Stegostoma tigrinum: one gene and its partner. The protein of the gene in region 1 interacts with the protein of each later gene in a pairwise test. Links are inferred from orthologs where the notes say so. Each region holds a gene or a part of one and is shown on either strand. Other genes may lie near its edges. The genes, in order: mtmr9 and EMILIN-1-A-like.

Region 1 (8,860 bases):
CCCCACCTCTTCCTCCGGTACATTGATGACTGTATCGGCGCCACCTCTTGCTCCCCAGAGGAGCTCGAACAGTTCATCCACTTCACCAACACCTTCCACCCCAACCTTCAGTTCACCTGGGCCATCTCCAGCACATCCCTCACCTTCCTGGACCTCTCAGTCTCCATCTCAGGCAACCAGCTTGTAACTGAGGTCCATTTCAAGCCCACCGACTCCCACAGCTACCTAGAATACACCTCCTCCCACCCACCCTCCTGTAAAAATTCCATCCCCTATTCCCACTTCCTCCGCCTCTGCCGCATCTGCTCCCACGATAAGACATTCCACTCCCGCACATCCCAGATGTCCAAGTTCTTCAAGGACCGCAACTTTCCCCCCACAGTGATCGAGAACGCCCTTGATCACGTCTCCTGTATTTCCCGCAACACATCCCTCACACCCCGCCCCCGCCACAACTGCCCTAAGAGGATCCCCCTCGTTCTCACACACCACCCTACCAACCTCCGGATACAACGCACCATCCTCCGACACTTTCGCCATTTACAATCCGACCCCACCACCCAAGACATTTTTCCATCCCCACCCCTGTCTGCTTTCCGGAGAGACCGCTCTCTCCGTGACTCCCTTGTTCGTTCCACACTGCCCTCCAACCTCACCACACCCGGCACCTTCCCCTGCAACCGCAGGAAATGCAACACTTGCCCCCACACCTCCTCCCTCACCCCAATCCCAGGCCCCAAGATGACATTCCACATTAAGCAGAGGTTCACCTGCACATCTGCCAATGTGGTATACTGCATCCACTGTACCCGGTGCGGCTTCCTCTACATTGGGGAAACCAAGCGGAGGCTTGGAGACCGCTTTGCAGAACACCTCCGCTCAGTTCGCAACAAACAACTGCACCTCCCAGTCGCAAACCATTTCCACTCCCCCTCCCATTCTCTAGATGACATGTCCATCATGGGCCTCCTGCACTGCCACAATGATGCCACCCGAAGGTTGCAGGAACAGCAACTCATATTCCGCCTGGGAACCCTGCAGCCTAATGGTATCAATGTGGACTTCACCAGTTTCAAAATCTCCCCTTCCCCTACTGCATCCCTAAACCAGCCCAGTTCGTCCCCTCCCCCCACTGCACCACACAACCAGCCCAGCTCTTCCCCCCCACCCACTGCATCCCAAAACCAGTCCAACCTGTCTCTGCCTCCCTAACCAGTTCTTCCTCTCACCCATCCCTTCCTCCTACCCCAAGCCGCACCCCCATCTACCTACTAACCTCATCCCACCTCCTTGACCTGTCCGTCTTCCCTGGACTGACCTATCCCCTCCCTACCTCCCCACCTATACTCTCTCCACCTATCTTCTTTACTCTCCATCTTCGGTCCGCCTCCCCTTCTCTCCCTATTTATTCCAGTTCCCTCTCCCCATCCCCCTCTCTGATGAAGGGTCTAGGCCCGAAATGTCAGCTTTTGTGCTCCTGGGATGCTGCTTGGCCTGCTGTGTTCATCCAGCCTCACATTTTATTGTCTTGGAATTCTCCAGCATCTGCAGTTCCCATTATCTCCAAAAGTAGAGGGTATGGGTTTGAGGTGAGATGGTGATGGTGGAGAGGGCTGACCAGTCAAGGAGTTGAACATGTTACTGTGTAGCAGATGTGAAAACTCGAGTTCCTTCAATAAAACTGTGGTATCTTCCTTGGTTCCTGACAGGTTATCTGCTCTCTGATCTCACATGAATAAGCAGTATCTGGAGCCATAGAGTCAGCATTGAAACAGACTCTTTATTCTAACTTATCCGTGCCAACCAGGTATTCTAAAATGATCTTGTCGCATTTGCCAGGTCTTAGCCCATAGACGTCTACACCCTTCCTATTCACGCACCAATCCAAATGCCTTTTAAATGCCGTAATTGTAATCACTTCCACCACCTTTCCTAGCAGCTCATTCCATTACACACACCACCATCAGTGTAAAAATGTCCCCCCCCACCCCAATCCTTTTAAATCTTTCCCCTCTCACCTGAAACCTTTGCCCCCTGATTTGGACTCCACTACCTTGGGAAAATGACCTTGGCTATTAACCCTCTAAATGCTCGACATGTTATTTGGTTGCTCGAAAGATTGGGCAATTGTTGCTTGGTGCCTTCGGGCCCAGCTGACCCAGGTCTGCTGACAGTATCCTGCCAAGATGCATGCAAGTCAAACAGCTGCAGACTGGGATCAGTGATGGGAAAACTGGAGAGGTCAGACACCTCTAAGGTGTCCTGAGAAGAAGCTTCTGGGGACTGTATGTATGTATGTGTGTGTGTGTGTGTGTGTGTGTGTGTGTGTGTGTGTGTGTGTGTGTGTGTGTGTGTCTGTGTGTGTGTGTGTCTGTGTGTGTGTGTGTCTGTGTGTGTGTGTGTGTGTGGTTCCTTCTGTCTCCTGGTACTTCCTGGCACCAACCTGCCTCCCTGAGAGGAAGAGCTACTTGGAATGAGAACATGTTTCCCTTCAACATTCAAAGGAAAAAAAGCCCAACCTGTTCAGCCTCTTCCTGTATTTCAAATGCTCAAATTTCAGCAACATCCTTGTAAATCTTTTCTGAACTCTTTCAAGTTTAACAACAGCTTTCCTAAAGCAGGGAGACCAGAACTGAACACAGTATTCTAAAAGTGGCCTCACCAATGTTCTGTACAGTCACAACACAATGTCCCAAATCCTATACTCAATGCACTAACCAAAAACAATATAAAAGGAGACAACTACATCAGGAGGATAAGAAAGTTCCAGTGCTAAAAGCACATGTTCCAGAGGGAGAAACAGCAGGTGAAGATCCACCAAGGAGACAAGGGAATATAAAGAGATCCCACATCTGCAGGCATTGCCGTCATTTTCGTCATCTCTGCCAGACTTGAATGTCAGTGGCCTCCCTTGCTAAGTTGATGCGTCACACTAACTTTCCCTATAGAAATGTGTAAAATCACCACTGATTCCACACTCGCCACCAGAAGGTGGTTTTCAGTATGGAATTGTGTGTCCACAGCAGACCTAAGCGCATTTCTTGCACATTGCATTTGGCCTTAACATTGTCCAAGTGGAACACCTTGGCTGCCGTCCTTAATGCCGCATTTTAAGGATTGCTGAGGCTATCCGCTTTCAAGCAGTCAGTTGCTTGTGAGTGAAGAGCAATACTTGGCAATTGGAACTCCTTTCTTTCTTGGGGTATTGGAGAAGATGCTGCCGATCTTTCACACGGATGATACATAACCAGGTCTGACAACGAAAATTATATAGATATTTTAGCAGTGCAAACTAATATGCATTTACAAAAGTGGAAGATTAGTTATAATGATATTTCATCCGTGTCTCCACTATGTTCTCAGTAATTTGTTTTCTTCCCCTCTTCATACTCTTTTAAATGCAGTCCTGATCTCTGCAATGGGGTCAGAGGAAGCATAGTATGTGGATGCTCTGAATATTCGGGCACTTGTTCCCTGGTGCCTTTGGGCCAAGATGACCCAGGTCTGCTGACAGTATCCTGTCAAGATGCATGCTAATCATCCTCAAGTTGAAGAGCTGCAGACTGGAATCAGAGGTGGGCAAACTGGAGAGGCTGGACACCTCTCAGGTGTCCTGAGGAGAAATTTCTAGGGGTTACGTGTGGCTCTTTCTACCTCTTTGGTATCTGCCATTACCAAGCTGTCTCCCTGACAGGAAGAGCCACTTGGAATGAGAATGACTTTCCATATCCCCCTTGCAAATGATGCTGACTAACAATGGATATAACAACGGAATGTAATCTATACCCATATTTTTCAAACACTTAAAGTGCTCGAGTTGGGTGTCCATGGTGCTTTATCTGACCATGTCAACTTGTCTGACAGCTGGATGCACACAGCCAAGTGCTAGCACTGTACTGATTAAATTGGTGGACTCCTCCATCTTTCAATTAGATTACAAAGTGCTTCTGACACGCCTACCTGATGTTCCTGTGTCTGTCTGCTTTTTGGAAAAGTCAATAATGGTTGGGAACAAGCTCCTGTTCTGCCTGCAGTCCAACAGTTGCCTGGTCTCTGGTTGCCCTCTGAGTATTACAGACAAAGGTGTTCCTTTGTCAATCAGCTACAGTCAGTGATGTGCTCAACAGATCATGTTCCCAAGTCTAATTTAGAAAGTGTAGAACACCAAAGTGAAAGTCTCTGAGCTGGTAGAGAGTGAAGGTGAAAGCCTCTGTCAATGCATCCTCTAGGAATTCAGTAGCTTCCTCAGCAGAGGTGGAAGTGCAGCTGACAATCTCCAGCACTGGTCTCTTTGTGCAGGTTTGCCGGGTTTGCTCACGCTTACATAATAGAAGTGCAGAAGAGAGTTGACAAAGAGGAATAAAATGTGTTGGTTATAATGGGGGATTAGTAAAGTGCAGAAGAGCACAATGAAGCTTACTTGGTGGATTGGCTATTGTGGACTCTCCATTACCAAGTGAAGAATTATGCTCTTCTCCACGCAGATCAGAATTTTCTCCTCAAAGGGACCGAGGAGCCTGATGTCACCACCTCTCTGCAACTCTTGGACCCAGGTCACCTAGGTTGCTGACCTCATCTACTACTTCTGACCACCTGTCTTGATCTGGCAGAATGGCCTTCTCATGCCATCTTCAGTTAAGAGCACCTCCCATCATTTCCTGATAGCCTTGAGGAATTTCAGGAACTTCAAACAGTGAACTCTATTCTCTGATACTTTCCTAAGCATCTACCCCAAGCATACGGTCTTCTTGGTTTTGATGTTCAGCAGAGCTGAGTTACATTTTGCTGTGAACTCTTTGCCTTTCGCTCTTTCACGACTAATCCCTTGCCTTCTAACCTTTATTTTTCTACTTGTTCCTTTCACCTTGTTCTGCAGCTAAAAATCCATCACTTTTCTGATTCTCCCTTCACTTCTGAACAATTCACATTGGACTGGAAACCTGAATTCTATTCCTCTCAGCTGCTTCCGGACCTGCCGATTTTCTCTAACTTTGTTTTTTTTATCTATTTGAGCCGTGGTGGCTGTCAGGTTGGAGGAGAGAGTGATCTAGAAGGCGTTTGGCATGTTGACTGTAATTCGGCGTGAAGCAATCTCAGGCCTTCTGGCCAAACGAACGAAATCCATTGCTAACCTTTCTGAGACGGAAACGTCAACAATCAGTGAATTCTGGTCGGAACCACGACTCGGGAAGTTGTCTTTCGGGGGCAATGCACTGCGGGACCTGTCTTCCGTCGAGTGGTTGGTGCGCAGGTTATTGTGGTCCGGACACTGCGGGTTCCGGGAGGGTGGACGATGGAGTTCGCGGAGCTGATTAAGACTCCGCGGGTGGACAATGTGGTCCTTCACCGGCCTTTCCTGCCGCGGGTGGAGGGCACCCTGTGTCTGACCGGGCACCACTTGATCCTCTCCTCCCGCCAGGATAACAGTGAGGAGCTCTGGCTACTGCACAACAACATCGACGCCATCGAGAAAAGGTGAGTGAGGCTGGAGTCGGGCTTCGAGCAGCGGCGACTGTGTAGCAGGCAAGTAGCCGGACCTAACCTCACTTGTACGGTTTATGTGTCAACAGATTTGGCCACGAGCTCGTAAACTCTAACAGCTTAGAAATAAACTATAAATTTCCGACGAAGGGTTTCGGCTCAACAGATTGACTTCCCTGCTCATTGGATGCTGTCAGACCTGCTGTGGCTTTCCAAGCTCCAGTTTTATTGACTTATAGTCAACCATACCCATGTCCAGTTATTTGGAGCAGTCTAGAAGATCGCCCCATTTCCTTGTTTTTTGTTTTCCTACAGGTTTCGCAACTATGTTACACTAATCACTAAAATTCAGTTTCGCTTTATCTGCTCCCGTGGAGATGTTGTCTCTTTCTCCAACTGTAATGTCCTGTCTCTCGAGTATTGACCAGAAATCTGTCACTGTATGTTGTAATTGCGGCTCACACACTGTACTTGCACGAATTTGTCTTTTGTATGAAACAAATGTTTAAGAGGTGGAGTCATAGAATCCCTACAGTATGGAAGCAGGCTATTCGTCTCAAGTCCGCATCGAACCTCCGAAGATTACTCTTCCAGAACCCCTATCCCTTGCCTACTCCACATAGCCTGCACGTCCCTGGACACCGTGGGCAATTTAGAATGGCCAATCTACGTAGCTTGCATTTCTTTGGACTGAGGGAAGAAACCGGTAAACTTGGAGGAAGCCGCGCAGACACGGGGAGAATATGCGCACTTCCACGCAAATAGTCGTCCAACGGTGGAAGCCAACCTCGGTCCACCGTGATAGCCACTGTGCCAAATGTTTGCAATCTGTCAGTGAAGTGTGGGTCTCTTTCAAAGTCCATTTTACTACAGTACTCGTATTATTACTTGTTGAGATTTGTGTGCCTTTGCCTGCAGGTGTCTTTATTCACATCCTTTATGTCTATCAATCATCATTGACCGTCTGTATCAAACAATATTGCTATAGTTGCAACTGCAAGGTTAATTAAATCCATTGTCAACTTCAGGCTGTTCAATAAATACTTGCCAATGTAAAAGCACTGTAAGAAGGTGTAAATAGCTGATTGAAACCGCTCGATTGGGATTAAGAGTGTTAGGATTCTGGGTGCAATTTGTTAAGTAGAAATGGGAAAATCCTGTTTTATAAAAATATAAGTTAATCTACTTTTTGATTTTTGCCATCTGACACATGTTGATGTGAACACCACTTATCTACATGATTGCTAGCAGCAGTGGGGGCTGTATTTCAGTTGACTTTATTTCCATACGGGTTTAGTCCTTACTTCCTAAAGTTAAGTTAAACTGTCACTTGACTGACAGAGGGTCACTGGACTTAACTTGACTCTGCATTCTCTCCACAGATGCTGCCAGACCTGAGTTTCTCCAGTAATTTCTGTTTTTGGTTCATTTCTGGCATCCATAGTCGTTCCTTTCAATTCACGTAGATTAGTTTGAAAGCATAATTGTATAAAGGTATAGGGGACAGTACAAGTGACCAAGAGTTTACAAGGATCATTGAGGCAGAAATTGGGTAATAGCATGGAAGACTCAAAGAAAAGACAAATACGAGTTGTATTCAGTGGAGATGGTTTCGCGACAAGGCACCTTATACTTTTTTAAACTTACCACGTGAGCTGTGTGATAAGATATCACTTAGATTATTTTGTTTTTTAAACAGTCAGTGTTACACAGCAATAACGTATCAACGTAGTCCACAAAGGAGGGCTCAGCAATTTAAAATAATTAGAAGAATCCTTCACATTATGCATGACTAACTTTAAAATTTATAAAAGTACGTTTCAATAAGTGTTGCCTTGAGATCTATTCCCCAGGTGCTGAGCAAGTCATCTTTGGTGGCAGACCCATAGGTTTCTGTTTCTTGGATCAGTAAATTTATCTACCCAGTGAAAGAACAAATTAAGATGCATAAATCCCAGTCTTTCTGAGTCTTACTTAAAACCATGCCATTATGAAAGCAGCTCTGGGCAATGCTCTAATCATTGGAGAAAGAAAAAATAAATCATAATTCTCTTTATTTTCAGTTATTGCCAAAAGAAAATCTAACTCTTAACCTAATTCATCATTTTGCAGGACTGCACAATGAAAATAACTTAAATTCTGTGTCTCCAGTATGTAGCACCGTCTGACTGAAATATTCCATACTTGAAGAGAAATCAGCACTAGGACCCATCCCACTGTACACTGCAAACTCCTTTTGATCACCACATTGTACAACGAACAATAGCCCTACATAAATCTGACTGACACTGTCATGAATTCCAGGCTAATAGGGAGTGTTAATGCTAATAAAGCCATTTCTCGAAAGCGCAGAATTTTTAAAAAAATGACGTATAAATACCGCTGTTATTAAGTAGATTGTATTTCTTTATTTCCAGGTTTGTGGGAACATTGGGTTCAATTACAATTAAATGTAAGGATCTGCGTATCATTCACTTGGATATTCCTGGCATGGAAGAATGTTTAAATATCGCAAGCTCTATTGAGGTGAGATTTTTTTATTGATCAGTTGTTTTCCAAGTTATGATAAATTATTATTAGAATAGAGCTTCTCAAAAGATTTGATTTAGTGCTGAGGATCAGGCAGAATGAATATTCCTTTTTTGGTTATGATATGCTTTAGTTCTAACTTCAAAAGTACACTCTTGCTGTAGCTTTGATTTTTTTTTCAGCTGTGCTTTGGCTTTCTGAGTAATAATGAGTGTATTACGGATAGTCCAGGTTTGTTTTGAACACAAGACAGTGTGTTGAGATGCTGAAACTTCTTTTTGTCAAATTATTGTAGCCTGTTGAGATAATTTTGACTTTTAAACCTAGGTCCAAATTCAGTGAAACAATAACAACTTCTCAAATGTTATTTGACTGTTTCAGTGAAGATTTTAATGTGTAGTGTTGGAAGTATTTATCCAGTCTTAACATACAGCTCATTGAATGATCCTATTCCTTTCGATTTGTTTTTGTTTCCTGTTGGCCATTATAAGGCCATCATGCATTATCTAATCTTAATATCATTTGAGATTTAACAGTGGGCTGCATACTGAATCATTGTTGCCCGTATGATCTGAAGGAACTCCCATGGTGATTAAACAGGAAGTTGCTGTGCATTGAACCAGCAATGATGGAGGAATAACGAATGATGTATATCTGATTGACAAGTGTCCCTGTGCAGTTACTGCCTTGACTTTTCTGTGTGTTGTAAACTGTTGGTTCTAGAGATATTTTTGAAGAAACTGTGACTTCCATGATAGAAATAGAATTGCATTTGCCATTCACATGTTTGAGAAGAATTGAAATTTGTCATGTGTTAAATTTAGAGGGAAGTTCTTGATCAGTGAAAAGC
Region 2 (8,351 bases), on another chromosome or scaffold:
CATCTGCCAATGTGGTATACTGCATCCACTGTACCCGGTGTGGCTTCCTCTACATTGGGGAAACCAAGCGGAGGCTTGGAGACCGCTTTGCAGAACACCTCCGCTCAGTTCGCAACAAACAACTGCACCTCCCAGTCGCAAACCATTTCCACTCCCCCTCCCATTCTCTGGATGACATGTCCATCATGGGCCTCCTGCACTGCCACAATGATGCCACCCGAAGGTTGCAGGAACAGCAACTCATATTCCGCCTGGGAACCCTGCAGCCTAATGGTATCAATGTGGACTTCACCAGTTTCAAAATCTCCCCTTCCCCTACTACATCCCTAAACCAGCCCAGTTCGTCCCCTCCCCCCACTGCACCACACAACCAGCCCAGCTCTTCCCCCCCACCCACTGCATCCCAAAACCAGTCCAACCTGTCTCTGCCTCCCTAACCGGTTCTTCCTCTCACCCATCCCTTCCTCCCACCCCAAGCCGCACCCCCATCTACCTACTAACCTCATCCCACCTCCTTGACCTGTCCGTCTTCCCTGGACTGACCTATCCCCTCCCTACCTCCCCACCTATACTCTCTCCACCTATCTTCTTTACTCTCCATCTTCAGTCCGCCTCCCCCTCTCTCCCTATTTATTCCAGTTCCCTCTCCCCATCCCCCTCTCTGATGAAGGTTCCAGGCCCGAAACGTCAGCTTTTTGTGCTCCTGAGATGCTGCTTGGCCTGCTGTGTTCATCCAGCCTCACGTTTTATTATTTTGAGATAAGTGGAGTTTTCAGTTGGCAGACTAATTAGTGGAGTGCCCCAGGGATCAGTGCTGACTTGTTAACTACTGTATTTAGAATCTGTATTAATGATAAGGAGACAAGTTGTTTTGTCACAGCTCACCTCCACTTTCTCACAGCTAGAATGGGTAACAAATGTTAGTGATGTCCACATCATTAAATGCACAATGCAGAGTCTGCACAGGGATGCAAATAGATGTAAGAGTGGACAAAAGTTTTCCACTTCAAATACATTGTAGGAAAATGTGAAGATTGGCAGATACAACAGAAAAGCAGAATATGACTTTTATAAGAGTCTGCAGAATACTGCATTAAAGATGGATCAGGGTGTCCTTATACATGAATTGCAAAAAAGCAATTAGCTTGCTGATACAGCAAAACAAATGGAATGTAGCTGTTTTTTGTGGGGAGGAATGGAGTGTTAAAGAAAGGAAGTCTTACTACAACCATACAGGGTATTGCTGAGACTGACCCTGGTGTATAATTATACAGTTAGAGTCTCCTTATTTCAGAAGGGATGTTCTTGCATTGGGAGCAGTTCGGATACTCTTCATTTGGCTGTTTTGGGACAATGCTCATTAGAGTTCGGAAGAATGAAGGGTGATTTTATTGAAATATATTAGATTCTGAAGGGCCTTGATGGGATTGAGATGGTGACTACGGAAATCTTTCATCTCGTGGGGGTATCTAGAACGAGGCAGTACAGTTTAGAGATGAAAAGACTCCCATTTAAGACAGAGATGATGAAGAACTTCTTCTGGATAATTGTTAACATCTGGAATTCTCTTGCCCGGACAGCAGCAGAGACTACACTGTTGAATATATTCAAAACTGAGTTAAACATGTTTTTGGTCAATAATTATTGGAAGGGCAAAAGTACCTTTTATTATTTCCTGAATGCCACAACCAAATCAGCCATGCTCTTTATTGAATTATACAGCAGAGTGGGTGGGCCAAATGGCCTACACCTGCTCCCTCTTTTTATAGTTTTATATTCCTGTGTGGAGTGAAATGACATGGATAGTGGGAGTAGAGAATGGAATCCACATAAGACTAACAAATATAGCCATTGGAAGATCTGGTTTATGTGTGGATCAGAAACAGGGTGAATATCTTTAGTGTATTGGGGTTTCCAAGGATAAACTTGTTTCTGTATTCAAGTCCTTGTGCAATGAAGGCCTCTTCACTGCCTTTTGCACCTGTGCACTTACTTTCAGCAACTGGTGCTCAAGGACATCCAGATCTGTTTTTGATGAAGGGCCTGGGCTCGAAACATCAGCCTTCCTGCTCTGCTGATGCTGCTTGGCCTGCTGTGTTCATCCAGCTCTACACCTTGTTATCTCGGGTTCTCCAGCATCTGCAGTTCCCATAATTTCTATTCCAGATCTCACTGATCATTCTCCCTGTCTCACACTTACTGTCATTCACATAATAATCTGCCTTCCGGTCCTATCAAATTGGATAACCTCACATTCATCTACATTAAACTATATCTGCCTTGCATTTGCCTACTCATTCAGCTTGTCCCAATCACATTGCAACATCTATGCATCCTCCTCACAGTTCATCCTACCATCCAGCTTTGTAGCATCTGCAAATTTTGAGATATTACATCTAGTTCCCTCATCTAAATCATTAACATGTCCATGAACAGCTGAGGTGCTGGGTGGAAGTGGATAGGGGGCATCAAGCAAGAATTGGGAGATGGCCTCTAAATGCGGGGGGAAAAGAAGCTGTAGGGATGCAGCTGCATTGTGGCAATGTCACTGTGCTTGTAATGCAGAACCCCAGGCTAATGCTTTGGGGAATTCAATAAAAAGTAGCCTCATACAAATCATGTCACCGCTGTTTTTTGTTCTTAGAAACCCATCTGGTTCACTAATGTCCTTTAAGAAAGGAAATTTGCTATCCTGCCACCCTGTCTGGCCTACATGTGACTCCAGACCCACAACAGAGTGGAAGACCCTTAATGTTAGAGGAAATGGTAGAGGTGGGCGCAATACAATCTAGAAAAGACATTTGGACAGGTACATTTTTACGAAAGCTGTAGAGGGATACGAACCAAATGCAGACAAGTTGGACTAGTTCAGTTTAGGAAACTTGGTCGATGTGGACGAGTTGGACTGAAATAACAAAGTGTGGAGCTGGATGAACACAACAGGCCAAGCAGCATCTTAGGAGCACAAAAGCTGATGTTTCGGGCCTGGACCCTTCATCGGAAAAGGGGGAGGGGGAGAGGGTTCTGAAATGAATAGGGAGAGAGGGGGAAGCAGATTGAAGATGGATAGAGGAGAAGATAGGTGGAGAGGAGACAGACAAGTTAAAGGGACGGGGATGGAGCCTGTAGAGGTGAGTATAGGTGGGGAGGTAGGGAGGGGATAGGTCAGTCCGGGGAGGACGGACAGGCCAAGGAGATGGGATGAGGTTAGTAGGTAGGAAATGGAGGTGTGGCTTGAGGTGGGAGGAGGGGATAGGTGTGAGGAAGAACGGGTTAGGGAGGCAGGGACAAGCTGGGCTGGTTTTGGGATGCAGTGGAGGGAGGGGAGGTTTTGAAGCTTGTGAAGTCCACATTGATACCATTGGGCTACAAGGTTTCCGAGCGGAATATGAGGTGCTGTTCCTGCAACCTTCGGGTGGCATCGTTGTGGCACTGCAAGAGACCCAGGATGGACATCTCATCTAAGGAATGGGAGGGGAATTTGAAATGGTTCACGATTGGGAGGTGCAGTTGTTTATTGTGAACTGAGCGTAAGTGTTCTGCAAAGCGATCCCCAAGCCTCCGCTTGGTTTCCCCGATGTAGAGGAGGCCACAACGGGTACAGCGGATGCAGTGGAGAGATAATGGGAACTGTAGATGCTGGAGAATCTGAGATAACAAAGTGTGGAGCTGGATGAACACAGCAGGCCAAGCAGCATCTTAGGAGCACAATAGCTGTCGTTTCAGGCCTAGATCCTTAGCCCAAAATGCCAGCTTTTGTGCTGCTAAGATGCTGCTTGGCCTGCTGTGTTCATCCGCTCCACACTTTGCTAGCAGCGGATGCAGTACACCACATTGGCAGATGTGCAGGTGAACATCTGCTTGATGTGGAAAGTCTTCTTTGGGCCTGGGATGGGGGTGAGGGAGGAGGTGTGGGGGCAAGTGTAGCACTTCCTGCGGTTGCAGGGGAAAGTGCCGGGTGTGGTGGGGTTGGAGGGGAGTGTGGAGCAGACAAGGGAGTCCCGAAGAGAGTGGTCTCTCCAGAAAGTAGAGGGAGAGTCTGTTTCCACACTGTGTTCTCTGAAATGGCCCAAGCAAACCAATCAATTCAACTGGCAGTTAGGGATCAACAATAAATGCTCAATAAATTAACAACTAAAAGAAAATAAATGGCAGGAGAAATTGACTTGCGAAAGGAATTGTGGAACAGTAGTGTAACAGAGACAATGAAGGTGTAACTGTGCCAGCATTGAGCTGAAGGCTTTGTTCCTCAATGGGAGTTCCATTTCGGTCAATCCTGATGTGCTTCTCAGGATGTCTGTCTGTCTGGCTTAGCTATCTGTGCTTACAATACAGACTCTGTTCTTCCTCTTGGTCACAGATTAAAGCTCCATAAACTTTCCCTGGGGCCCCCTTCATCATGAAAGTACTGGCCAAGGCTGAAGTGTGATGCTGGAAATCGAACCTTGGCTTTTTCAATCACACCCCTAAGATTTAATCAGCTTCCAGTAAATGTAGCATGTGGAGATTTCAAAACAAACATAAGAACAGCAGAAGGAGTTTGTCATCCTTTAAATAGAAATCAGACAAGGGTCACAGAACCTGCTGAGACAGCAAGGTCCATTGGTGCCTCCATTTTAAAATTCTCATTCTGCTTTCAAATCCCTCAGCGGCCTTACCTGCTCTGCAACTTCCCCATGTCCTACCAATCTGGGAGGCTTCTGTGCCCCTTCCCTCTTCTGCTGTTTGTTTTAATTTACCCCATCTCTGGTAGGGTTCTGATCTTTACCGGGGGACAGCATGCTTCATCTGCGCTGTTCAAACCCTAAACTCTGGAATTACTTCCCAGAATCTCCTCACTTCAGACATTAAATACACTAACATCGGCATATCCTGAAGCACAGCTTTGTCTGTTGATGTTAGGGGCACTGGATAGTGTTAGCAAGGGGGAGGAGTGAAATGTGACAGGGGCAGAGGGGGAGGGAAGGGGTCGGGGGGGGGGGGGGTGAAGAGAGAAGGATTGGGGGGAGCATTTGCAGGAGGAAAAAGAGAGAGAGAGACAGCAGAGAGATCGGAGCGGGGTGAGTGTTGTGGGTAGAGGGCAGGAGATCAGAAAGAGGGGGGAAGAGGATTAAGGCAGAAGGGGGTACTTACCGTGGATTGGGACAGCCTTATGGGAGGAGTTCAGGTTTTCCGAGAATAAAAAGGGTTTTTGGCAGCGAAGCAATATTTTACATTCCGGAGGCTGAGATTAATTAGCTCCAGATGTGAGTCCCCGAGAGAGAGAAAGCAGGGAGTGAAAAATAGAGAGGGAGGGAGGGAGGAAAATCTTCGGAAAGGCAGCAGGAGAGAGAGAAAAAGAGACGGTGACAGAGAAAAAAACCCAGGCAAAGAACGAAGCAGAGTGTGGGAAAAGAGAGGGAGAGAAGTTTCAGGGAGCATTGAATGAAATAATCGACACAGGATCGAAAGGAACGTTTCCCAAGTTTGGAGAAGTTTCTCAGGAAGTGGCTGGAATCCCGGGAGGGATCCAGGCGCTGGTTGATCCCGGTTGATCCAGAATCCCTGTCGAGACTAGAGTTTGGTGAGCGCCTGCGAGCATGGCCAGGGCTCTCTGTCAGTTTCTCTACCTCCTGTCGATCCTGGTGCGGGCTGCGGCGGTCAGTTATCCCCAAAGATACCCCCTGTACTCGGCAGTCTCCGCGGAACACAGCAGCCAGGCGGAGCCCGGAGTGAGGGCAACCAGCAGGCACAGGTAAGGGAGAGGAGGAGAGAGAGGGCAGGGGTGGGGGTGAGGGGGAAAGGGTGAGTGTGTGGGGGTAGAGGAGAGGGAGAGAGAGGAATGGGAGGGGAAGGGAAGAGGTGAGTTGGGAACAGGGAAGAGGGAGAGAATGGAAGGAAGAGAGGGAGGGAAGAAGGGGAGAGGAAAGTGTGAGGTAGGGAGAGAAAGGAATTGGAAAGGGAGAAATGGAGAAAGAAGTAGGGGAGATGAAAGGGGGAGAGAGGGGAGTGAAAGATAGAGAAGTGAGATGGAGGAAGAGGGAGAGGAGGCTGAGAGAGAGTCAGGAGAACAGATTGAAGGGAGTGGGGAACAAAGGTGGATAGAGATGGAGAGAGAGAGGGAGAGGGAGATTGCGAGGAGGAGAAGAGAGGGAGGGGAGTGAGAGACACTGAGTGAGAAGTGTGGGAGGAAAAGAGAAAGGGAGAGTGGGTGGGGGCAAAGGAAGAGAGGTGGGTAAGGGGGAAGAGAGAGTGAGAGGTGAAATGGGGAAAGGGGACAGAAAGTGGGGGAGGAGGAGGAGAGAGGGAGAAGGAGGATTGGGGAATGGCTAGAGGGAGAGGGAGAAAGCAAGAAAGTCAAACAGAAATGGAGAGAGGGAGGGAGTGAGGGAAGAGAACAGGGGAGGAGGGATGTGGGAAAGGGGTGTGGTGATGAGGAGAGGGAGAGAAGGACAGAGAGGAAGGAGTAGAGACAGGGGAAAGGGTGAAAGAGTGAATTGAGGAGATGGAGGGAAGAGGGGTTCAAGCTGGAATATTGAATAGCTGGAATATTGATAGCTGGAATATTGAATTTCCAGAATGATGTGGGTTGTAGGGAGAAGTCGTATGAGTCTTTTTTCAGCGTCAGAGCAACTCCCAACTGGTTCTAGACATTGCGATAAGATTTTGTCTAGCAAGTGGTGAAATGCCTATTACCAGGAATTACTGTTCAGTATCTGTCTCATTAACACCAAATTTCACCTCATTAATATGCAACTCCCTTTTCTACCACATGGCAGATAGCAGCCAGACATCAAGGATTCCTGACATGAAATTCTGAGTGGCTACTGGGCAACCCCCATCCCAACGAGTGCTCCTCTGGCCATCCACCAGCTTCACACACACCCCAAGCCCACAGACACTGGCCACTATCATGGCAAATCTTGATCCACATGTAGTATAGTTCTGTAAATACTGCCCTGGAACCTCTCATTGAAAAGATGCTGCATTGTCACAGAGACAGGCATCAGCTCGTGGATCTCAGAGTTCTCTGAATAGTCACTTACTCATGTCTACTTCAATGCACAAAGCGTCTTTGCCTTGCCCTGCCCCACTCTCCCTTGACCTACCTTAACCGTGCCCTCTTTGTCCTGAGATCCTGAGCTTCTAGTTGCCTGCCATTTCCACACACCACTGCGTTCCCTGTCCAACTTCTTTGTCTAGTGCTTGCTGAAGTACTTCAACAAAGATCAGTGCAAGCCAGAAGAACAGCACTCCGTTTTCCACTTGGGAACGCTACAGCCTCAGGACTCAGTATTGAGTTCAACAACTTTAGGAACTGAACACCTTCCCCATACTTTCCCCACCCCAACACCCAAGGCTTTGATCTGCGATTATACATGACCCATTGTTAGCCACTAATATTCCCCATTAGCAGATATTCATTCTCCCAGACAGACTGTTATCTACTCCTTTGTCTGTTCAACTGTTCTTCTCTCTTTGGGCTCTATCCCCACCTATCGTTTACTCCCATTGAACTTTGTGGGAAGCGAGCAAAGTGATTGCTGGTCCCCTTACTGAGATTCTTGTATCATTTATAGCCACAGGTGAGGTACCGGAAGACTGAAGGTTGGCTAGCAGGGTACTATATATTTAAGTAAGCTGGTAAGGAAAATCCAGGAAACTGTAGACTGATAAGCCTGTCCTCAGTGGTGTGCAAGTTGTTGGAGGAGATCCTGAGGGATAGGCGTTATATGTATTCGAAAAGGCAAGGACTGGTTAGAGATAGCTGACATGGCTTTGTGTGTGGGAAGTTATGTCTCACTAACTTGATTGAGTTTTTTGAAGAAGTGACGAAGAGGATTGGTGAAGGCAGAGTGGTGGACATTGTCCTTACGTTTTCAGCAAGGTGTTTGACAAGATTCCTTATGGCAAATTGGTTAGCAAGGAGAGATCACATGGAATTCAGGGAGAGCTAGATTGTAAATTGGGAGAGGGGAGTGCGCAGCAGGACCTGGGTGTCCTTGTGCACCAGTCACATGCAGGCGCAGCAGGTGGTAAAGAAGGCAAATGGTATGTTGGGCTTCATTGCGAGAGGTTTTGAGTACAGGAGCAGGGATGTGTTGTTGCAGTTGTACAGGGCCTTGGTGAGACCACACCAAGAATATTATGTGCAGCTTTGGTCTCCCTTTTGCTCTCGAGGGAGTGCAGCAAAGGTTTACCGGGTTGATTCCGGGGATGGTGGGACTGACATATGAGGAGATATTGACTACGTTGGGATTGTTTTTGAGAGAGTTCAGACAAATGAGGAGGAGGGCGGGGTCTCATGGAGACTAACGGGACTGGACAGGGTAGATGCAGGGGGGGGGGATGTTCCCGATGGTGGCTGTGTC

Evidence for each region.
Region 2: the proteins of mtmr9 (region 1) and EMILIN-1-A-like interact in binary tests that used the Homo sapiens proteins (3 or more experiments, as listed by UniProt). The link is inferred for Stegostoma tigrinum from reciprocal best matches to the Homo sapiens genes MTMR9 and EMILIN1.

What each region holds. Positions count from the first base shown.
Region 1 is NC_081357.1:78,593,798-78,602,657, forward strand, and holds the start of mtmr9 (myotubularin-related protein 9), read left to right. Parts: upstream 1-5,220; 5' UTR 5,221-5,293; coding exon 5,294-5,475; intron 5,476-7,898; coding exon 7,899-8,007; intron 8,008-8,860. UniProt on the Homo sapiens protein: Acts as an adapter for myotubularin-related phosphatases. Increases lipid phosphatase MTMR6 catalytic activity, specifically towards phosphatidylinositol 3,5-bisphosphate and MTMR6 binding affinity for phosphorylated phosphatidylinositols.
Region 2 is NC_081362.1:99,071,125-99,079,475, forward strand, and holds the start of EMILIN-1-A-like, read left to right. Parts: upstream 1-5,033; 5' UTR 5,034-5,579; coding exon 5,580-5,734; intron 5,735-8,351. UniProt on the Homo sapiens protein: Involved in elastic and collagen fibers formation. It is required for EFEMP2 deposition into the extracellular matrix, and collagen network assembly and cross-linking via protein-lysine 6-oxidase/LOX activity.